Macaca fascicularis: one gene and its partner. The protein of the gene in region 1 purifies or fractionates together with the protein of each later gene. This does not show direct contact. Links are inferred from orthologs where the notes say so. Each region holds a gene or a part of one and is shown on either strand. Other genes may lie near its edges.

Evidence for each region. Proteins that work in one complex are often made in the same cells at the same time.
Region 2: the proteins of DYRK1B (region 1) and LZTS2 purify together in Homo sapiens (affinity purification with mass spectrometry; 3 studies listed by BioGRID and IntAct, counting the BioPlex papers as one, with this or other methods). This does not show direct contact. The link is inferred for Macaca fascicularis from reciprocal best matches to the Homo sapiens genes DYRK1B and LZTS2.

Annotation. Positions count from the first base shown.
Region 1 is NC_088393.1:46,953,389-46,957,508, forward strand, and holds the start of DYRK1B (dual specificity tyrosine-phosphorylation-regulated kinase 1B), read right to left. Parts: upstream 2,819-4,120; 5' UTR 2,750-2,818; coding exon 2,671-2,749; exon of another isoform or gene 2,373-2,670; intron 1,381-2,372; coding exon 1,217-1,380; intron 206-1,216; coding exon 86-205; intron 1-85. Other genes in the region: FBL (rRNA 2'-O-methyltransferase fibrillarin), read right to left, coding at 3,938-3,962, 4,068-4,120.
Region 2 is NC_088383.1:109,955,042-109,959,277, forward strand, and holds the start of LZTS2 (leucine zipper putative tumor suppressor 2), read left to right. Parts: upstream 1-1,418; 5' UTR 1,419-1,614; intron 1,615-2,010; exon of another isoform or gene 2,011-2,041; 5' UTR 2,042-2,304; intron 2,305-2,948; exon of another isoform or gene 2,949-3,351; intron 3,352-4,210; exon of another isoform or gene 4,211-4,236. UniProt on the Homo sapiens protein: Negative regulator of katanin-mediated microtubule severing and release from the centrosome. Required for central spindle formation and the completion of cytokinesis.

The DNA of each region.
Region 1 (4,120 bases):
GGCAGGAGATGGGGACTGGTGAGTGACTCATGCCAGCAGCCAAGACCCTCGGCACCCAGCCCAGGATCCCCCAGCCCCTGCCCACCTCATTGATGTGCTTGTAGGTCTTGATGAGGTCCACAGAGAGCTTACGCAGCGGGGCTGAGGTTGCATCTCGGAAGGCCAGGGGCAGCCTCCGAGGCAGTAGCCGCACATCAGGCAATACCTGCAGGGCAGGGTGAGGGGTGGGCACTGAGGGCGGGCCTTTACCTCCAACCTCAAGAGGAAGAACTATAAGGGCTGCTCGCGCATCATGTATTTGGTTGCTGTCTGTATTTGTTCCACCCATTTAGGAAAGAAACTCCCCCAGGGCTGAGACTTTCTCTTGTTCTTACTGTACCTCCAGTGCCTAAAGCAGGGCCTGGCACACAATGGATACTCTTTCAGACCTGTGATGTGAATGAGTGAACCCTGACCTTTCACCCCTCACCTTTACTCCTTTCTGAACCTCAGTGGGAGAGATTATATGGAAAATCTGGGCTCTGTTCCTCCCCATTCTTCACTGTGAAGCCAGCCATTCTGGGTATCCTCTGAAGTTCCTCTATCTCAATTTACCCTCATCCCTTGGGCCCCAACCCATACCCCCACCAACTCTTTGCATAGTTCTTTCACTCCAAGACTCTTGGATCTGATCTGGCCCCTGGACCTCCCACTCCATCCTGCTTCAAGCTCTGCATGTCACTGCCTTCACTGCCTCCAGCCTTGGAGAGCTTTGCCCTGCACCACCCATGCCTCTTGGACTCAAGACCGTTTAGACTCAACCCCCCTCCCCATTCACCCCCTCCAGATCTTTCACTCTGAACTTTTCTTAGTGAGCATTTATTGGGTATTTACTATGCGCCAGGCACCATTCTAAGCATTCTACATGCATACCATTAACTCATTTAATCCTCACAACAACCGTGTGAGGCAGGTATCATTATTGGCCCCATTTCACAGAATAGAAAACTCGAGTATGGAGAATCTAAGTAATTTAATCACTGGGTAAGCATTTGAACCCAACCTCTCCAAACCCTGACTCTGCCTGAAAACTCCTCTGTTATTTTCCAATCCCATGGGACCCATTATGTGCCCAGGAGACTGTCTTGGGCAACCACACTACATTTTGGTCTGGAGACCCTTCTATCCCCAGCCTCCCCCTACCACCAGGCAGGTGAGGAGCCAGCTGAACGCGTACCTGCGTGTGCTCCTGGGGCCCTGGGAAGCCAGAGAAGGGACCATGGCCCGGTGGGACGGCCATGGTGGGCTCAGAGGGCCGCAGGGGAGCGAGGCCTGGAGCGGGAGCCCGGCCGGGGGGCGCCTTCTTGCATCCTGCACCTCGGCTGCCACCGCCGCTGACACCTGAGAGCAGACAGGCGGTAGGAAAACAACATGGAACAAGGGATATGTGAATAGTGCCAGGCGCGGAAGAGGTGGGCATGAGAAAGGCAGGGAACAGAGAGAAGAGGAAAAGGGCACAACGGAGCAACAGGTAGCAATGAAGAAAAGGGGCAGAGAAGTGGCAGCCAGGTGGGGGGTGGCACAGCAGTCCCTTGACAAATAATGACCAAGTAAATGATTAAGGCAGCACAAAGAGAACGCATAAAAGACAATGATTGGGGGCCAGGCAGGGGTTGATATGAGCCATCACAGGGAAAGGAGGACAGGAAGACACCAATAATTCGGAGGAGGGAAAGAAAAAAGATAGAAACCACAGACAGTATGCAGAGGAGTAAGCTTCATTCTTTTCTCATTACTACTCATGGCCCTCCCCAGGGCCCCTAACACAAGATCCCACCCTTCTAAAGTCTTCCCTGAACATTAGGATCTCAGCCCGTAGTACAGCAAGGGCCACTACTTCAAGATCTACCCTTCTCAGTAGATTCCCTCAGCCCAGAGAACTCTAGGATTTCCAAACCACATGAGTGTTCCCCTCCCAAACCACAGCAGAATCCTCTGCAGCCCTAAAACCACATCAGCGTCCTTAGGGACCTCCCAACCACACCAAAGTTATCTGAGAACCTCTACAGAACAGAGTCCTATCTCTACGGCATTCTCATCTACCAGGGCACAACTTTCCTAGGGGACCCTCTCCATATCATGCCAAGACCGCTTCCCTATATCAGGTCCTCCATATTAGGAACCAGCCTTCCAGGCAGTCTCCCTGTACTATATCCCAATTCCCCCTGCCACAACAGGGCTCTTCCCCACATTACTCCAAGACCCCATCCCAATCAAGGCCCACTCCTCCTGATGGGAGGTGTCTCTTCCCACAGTTTAGAGTGATCTTTTCTCCCCTACACTGCTTCCTTGCCCCCCTACATACACACACACACACTGCCTAATATTCCTACCAGACACCTTTCTCCAGGCACCCCTCTTTATACCAGGGTCATTCCACAACTGAGTCCACTCCTACAGGGCCTCAAAGCCAAATGCCCAAGTATCACATAGGGTTCTCTCCTCCCAGAGTTGTCAGCCACAGCAAAAATCTCCCCAATGGGCCATTTTCTCCCCCATGTCAAATCCTTTTCTCCTATTCCATGCCTCGCCACTCCACGACTCCTCCACCCTTGGAGCTTCCCCCCAAAACAACCTCTTTTCCGGGGCCCTCCCACACCAGGACCATCTCTCCCAGCCCCCACCCCCTACCCGGGTCAGGGCTGGCGCGGGGCCCACGGGGGGCTGGGGCGCGGTGGGGCCCCCAGGCGGGTGGTCGAGCGGCCAGCATGGCGGCGGTGGCAGCGCTGAAAAGGCGACCGCCTGTCCCTGGCCCGGCCGGCCCCGCGGCAGGGAGGGCAAGCGGGACGGGCGGCCCGGTGGGTGACAACAGCAGCCGCCGCTGCCACCAGGGGCGGGGAGAGGAGGGGACAAGGGTCAGCCCGGGGCACGAGGGGGAAGAGTAGAGCAGGTGGACGGGGGAGGGGCGACACGCCCCACCCTGAGTGGCCACCAGCCCCTAGGGACCCGGCGTCCCGCCCCCCACCCAGGAGGCCCTCCTGGGCCTGCCGAGACCGGCAGGCGGGGCCCGACTGAGCTTGGCAATCGGCACCTGCCATGGCAACAACTGTGCCATTGGTCGCTGGTGCCAAGAGCTCAGCCAATCACAGCCTAGGGCAGCTGTTGCTAGGCAACGAAGAAGCGGCCCGCGGAGCCGAGCCCAAACAAAGGGCGGGAGTGGGGCCCGGCTACCCCCTCCCAGCCTCCCTCCTGCAACTGCTCCCTCGGGCTTGGCCGGTTCCAGGAATTCAACTATGAATAGCCAGGCAGGGCCCGCACCTGCCCGCCACCCCCCTCCTCTCCTCCCTTGGCCTCGCGCTAAGTCTCGCGGCGACGCGGGCAGGGCGGATCCCGTCCTGCCCACCTCCCTGCGACCGCCCCACCGTCCCTGCGCCGTTACCTGAGGGAGCGGGCAAGGGGACTCAAACTGCTCGGGGAGCCCGAGCTCAGACCTGCCCACTGGCTGAGGGTATCCGGCGGACGCGGCAAGCCAGGGCCCCGATTACCCAGTAATGCAACCAGCAAAATGGCGACCACAACAAACCGGCCCCCCCACGCCCTGGACTCCGCCCCCATCCCGCCCTCTCCGCTCCCCCCACGTGACCCAGACTGCCACTCCGCCTGCGCGAGACGGCCGCTTACCTGTACGCATGCGCAGTGAGCTACCAATCACACCCAAGAACTGAAATCCGGGCTGCGACTGCGCGAGAGGCAGCTACAAATGGAGCATGGGCTCTGTGACCGGGTGAGAATTTACCCCACGACCCCGCAAAGTTAACCAAGGGTGCATGCGCCCTGTGTCAGCAGGTCAAGGGGAGGAATGAGCAGCAGACATGGGAGACGGATGAGTCTTTTAATAGAAAAACACACGTGCAACAGTATCAACACACATCTCTAGCAATCCAGACAGCGCTGAACTTCAGTTCTTCACCTTGGGGGGTGGCCTGTGAGAGGAAGATACGTGATGAAGAAGGATCCCCAGGATCATGGCACTTGGGGTGCAAGGGACAGAGATGTCTGTCTTGGTGTATTGCTGGGCCCCTGCTCACCTGTACACTCCCACGACCACGGCATGGTCTCTTTCATATGGCTCAAGGGTCAA
Region 2 (4,236 bases), on another chromosome or scaffold:
TAGTAGACATCCCCACACAGCACAAACCAGAAGGATGAGGTGGAGGGGAAGCTAATACTCTCCCCAGCCCCACCCCCTGCACAAACACATTCTACTCCATACCTGCCTTAAACACCCACATCATGATCGGGCCCAGCCTGTTCAGATCCCTGGATTCTAGAAAGCAGTGGGGGGTCCCTAGGGCCTGTGCAGATTCCCTGGGATAGGACTGGTCTGCCTACACCCAACTGGATGTTAAGAATCTCCCTGACTCACAGGTTCAGTGGATTGGGAAGAAAAAAAAAAATTCAAAAACATTTCCCCGAGAACTCAGGAAAGGCCTGGCTAAGCCAGGTCCAGTTGGATCTACAGCCTTGTCCTCTAACTGATAGTGTATGTCACACTTGGCTATGAGGGGGCAGCTTTGGTCCTCCAGCAGCTTCCTCTCTGCTGTGGATGGGTTTAATAATAAACAGCTCGGCCGGGTGTGGTGGCTCACACCTGTAATCCCAGCACTTTTGGAGGCCGAGGTGGGTGGATCACAAGGTCAGGAGTTCGAGACCAGCCTGGCCAATATGGTGAAACCCCGTCTCTACTAAAAATACAAAAATTAGCCGGGCGTGGTGGCACATGCCTCTAGTCCCAGCTGCTCTGGAGGCTGAGGCAGGAGAATTACTTGAACCTTGGAAGCTGAAGTTGCAATGAGCCAAGATCGCGCCCGCTGCATTCCAGCCAGGGCGACACAGCGGGACTCCGTCTCAAAAAACAACAACTCACCGAGGTCTCCAGCAGCCCATACGGCCCAGATACCTAAAGACCTTCCCACATGCTGCCTTGAGTGCCATGGCGGGAGGGAGCCCCTGGGGCCTCCCTGCAATACAGGCCAACTTCCTGTTTGTGCCTGTGGGTAGGATTTTATGAGTCTAAGAGAAGCCCAGTCATGCCCCGTGGGGGGTCAGAACCGGCAGGCCTGCTCACCTGGGCAGACACCTACTCTAGGGAGGGGGCTGTGCTGGTTCTGCTTGGGCAGCCCCACGCTGAGGTGTGTGCATGGTGGGGGCAGGTGGGAGCTGCTCTGGTGAAACTCGAGCCTCCTTTGTCTGATTCCCAGGGGTTTTCCCTATATTTGGGGATTGGGTCAAGAGTGGACCGGGTTGGGCTCCCAACGGAGCAGGGAGGGTGGCAGAGTCAAGTTCTATAGGGCAGCTTAGTTTAAGGCAGCCAGGTAGTCGAATTATCGGTCACGAGATGCTCGCCCCCTTCCCCACGTCAAAAACCAAATCCAGTAAACTGTGAAGGCGAAGGCCAGAGGGGCAGCCTCGGCCACCGTCGAGTCCCTGTGGGGCAGGGAACTGGGTAGGCTGTTGGTGGAGTGCGGGACAGACCACTCCCCTCCCTGGGTGGGGGGCGCGGCCTGAGCCGCCCCGCCCCGCCCCACCAGGTCAGGCCAGGCGGGCGCCCGGAGCCGGGAGCCGGGAGCCCGGAGCCGGGAGCCGGGAGCCCGGAACCCGGAGCCCGGAGTTCGGAGCCCAGAGTTCGGAGCGGGCTAGGGAGGCGGCGTTGTCGCGGCGAGGAGGTGGGCGCGCTGGAGCAGGAGCGGGGCCAGAGCTGGAGCCGAGGCGCAGGTGGCGCTGGGTGAGTGGTGGGGCCGCGGAGGTGCAGGAACTCCTGCTTCCCGCACATCCCCGCTCCTGAACGAACTTTCCGCTTCTGGGGAAGCTAGGGGTGGAGTGAGGAGGGGGGTCCGCACTTGGTGGGTCGCCCGCGAAGAGTCCAAACAGGGAAGCGACACGAAAACGCACGCCGACGGGCCCCAAACACGCGTGCACAGACCCACGCCCGCACTTGGGACACGCGAACACACATGCAGTCGGAAAGGACGCGCCCAGTTTTGTACCCTTGCACTCCCAGGGACAGCGCCAATCAGCCCGCGCGGACCCACAGCGGGCAGGGCACTCTGCGGTCGCGCATTGGGTGCGGGAAAGGGGCAGCCCCGTGACCGCCGACGGGGGCGGGCCGGGTGGGACGCACCCAGAGGTTCCTGCTTCCTGGCCGCCCACAGGTGAAGACGAAGACGTAAACAGGCGCCGGGCACGTGACAGCTCCGCACACCAGTGGCCTGTGCCCCCAACCCCACCACGAGGCCCGTTTGCTTGGTTCCAGGCCGGACGGCGTTCCATTCTCCTCCTGGAGCCGGGATAAGCCCTCTCCCAGGAACCGGAGCACAGCGCCCCCTGGAGCCGGGGCGGAGCAGGAGGGCCGGGCTGCTGGGCAGGGCTGGGGTTAACCTGGGCTCCTGTACGTCCTTCCCCCAGCACATTCTTGGTATCTGCATCCCCGAAGGTTTCGGAGACAGGCCCTTGATGGCAGTGGACAGCTGCCCCCGCCTATTCCCGCCAGCCCAGAGAGCAGCTGCCTGAGCGCCTGCGGGTCCCCTTCCTACCCTCACCTCCACTCCTTGCCGGAGTAGGAGTCTCCTCCCCCGCAGAAAATGCATGAGTGTAAACGCCCCCTCAATACCAGAGTGGGCCTAGACCCCTAGAAAAAGGAGGACGAGCCCCTGCCCCCAGGGAATGAGGGAGTGGGCAGTAGCTCGATGCCTTCTTCCCGCCCCACCCCCTACCCCTACACACACGCTGAGCCCAGCTGCCGCCTGAGCTGGGCAGGCTGCCAGAAAGGGGAGGAGGTTCTCGGTGCCCCAGGAGGCAGGGATCAGGGCAAGGCCAGAGGAGGGGGCTCTGTTGGGGAGAGGGTCTCAGTCTGTTCTTGTGAGGCTGAGGGTCTGGGGTGAGTCTGAGGGTGGCTGGGCTGTGTTTCCCTTTCCAGGGAAAAAGAAAAACAACCCTGTCCATGGAGCTAAAAATAGAGCTGAGAGCCGGCCAGGGCTGTGGCCTGGAAGGGGGGGATGCTCCTTCCTGGGGCCCGGGCGAGCTCTGGCAGGCCTTGGCCCTGCGGGGGAGGGGGTGGTTAGGGGAGAAAGGCTGTCTTTGCCCAGGGATGCAGGCATCAGCTGACCTGACCGGGTCACCGAGACCCCTAGGGGAAAGGCTGTGCGGTAGAATATTTGCGAAGCATGGCTGTAAGAAGTTGTCTGTGTGAGTGACTGTGAATAGAGGCTGTCAATGCGTGAAAGATGGTTAGGAGACTAAGTGCATTTGAGACAGTGACTGGGTGCGAAGGACTGCGGATTGTTGTGGAAGCCTGTGCCCAACAGGCCTGTGACACCGTGTCTGTGTGTGAGTTGGACTGGAAGATTATGGAAAGAAGGAACGCGGACCCACGTGACAGCTGAGACTGCTTGTGGCTGCGTGGTGAGGCTGCATGTGGGAAAGGTCGCGTGGGTGTTAGGGAGACTGTATTGTGTGCGAGAAGGTGAGAATATTTGCGACCTTGAGAAAGTGGAATGTTGTCTGCCGTGCGGCTCCTGTAGGTTTGGGCTGTAGGCTTGGACCGGTTTGCCCCAGTGATTGTTGGGGAGCCAGGGGCCGCTTCTCTCCGAGAAATGACCTCTGTCTTAGCAAGCGGTCCCGAGGGGAGGCTGGGGAGCACGGGGCCGCGCCAGAGGCCGGCCTGGGTTCGCGGGGAAAAGGGCACCGTGCCGGGGAGTGGGGCAGGGCCCGCGTGGTGGGGGGCGGCTGGGTGTGTTCTTCGAGCGGGCCGCCAGGTGGCGCCGCCTCTGCGAAGCCCAGGTTGCCGCCTCCAACCCGCCCCTGGTGGGGCAGGTGCGGACCCAGCCTCGGCCTCCGACTCGCGCTAGGGCGCGGGGCCCCGGCACCGGAGAGTGGGGGACGGCCGGTCGTCGACCTCTCTCGCTTGGGACTCTGAGGCTGAGAGCGTGTCAAGGAAGCTTCGCTTGGAGAAGCGGAGGGGGAGGGGCGGCCGCCGCCGTGCCGTGGCCCTTTGTGCTGGAACAATGACCAGCTGCCGCTGGCCCCGGGGCCCCGGCTGGGGCGGAGGGTGACCACCGCCGCCGCCGCGTCGAGCCGAACCGAGCCGCCGGACACGCAGTCACAAGGCGTCGGAGGCAGGGCTCCCGACTGCCGCCGAACAGCCCCTACGTGCGCCCCGGCCGATTCGCGTGACGCGGGTGCCTGCGCGTGTCCCTGCGCGTGTCCCTGCGCGTGTCCGCGTCCCGGGGCGGAGACGCCCCTCGGACCCTCCCCCGCGCGGCGCCGCCCACTCGCACTGGGCGGGGGCTGGCCAGGGCCGGGGGAGCCGCGGAGGCGGGGCCGGGCCGGGCGGCTCCGAGTGGCGGTA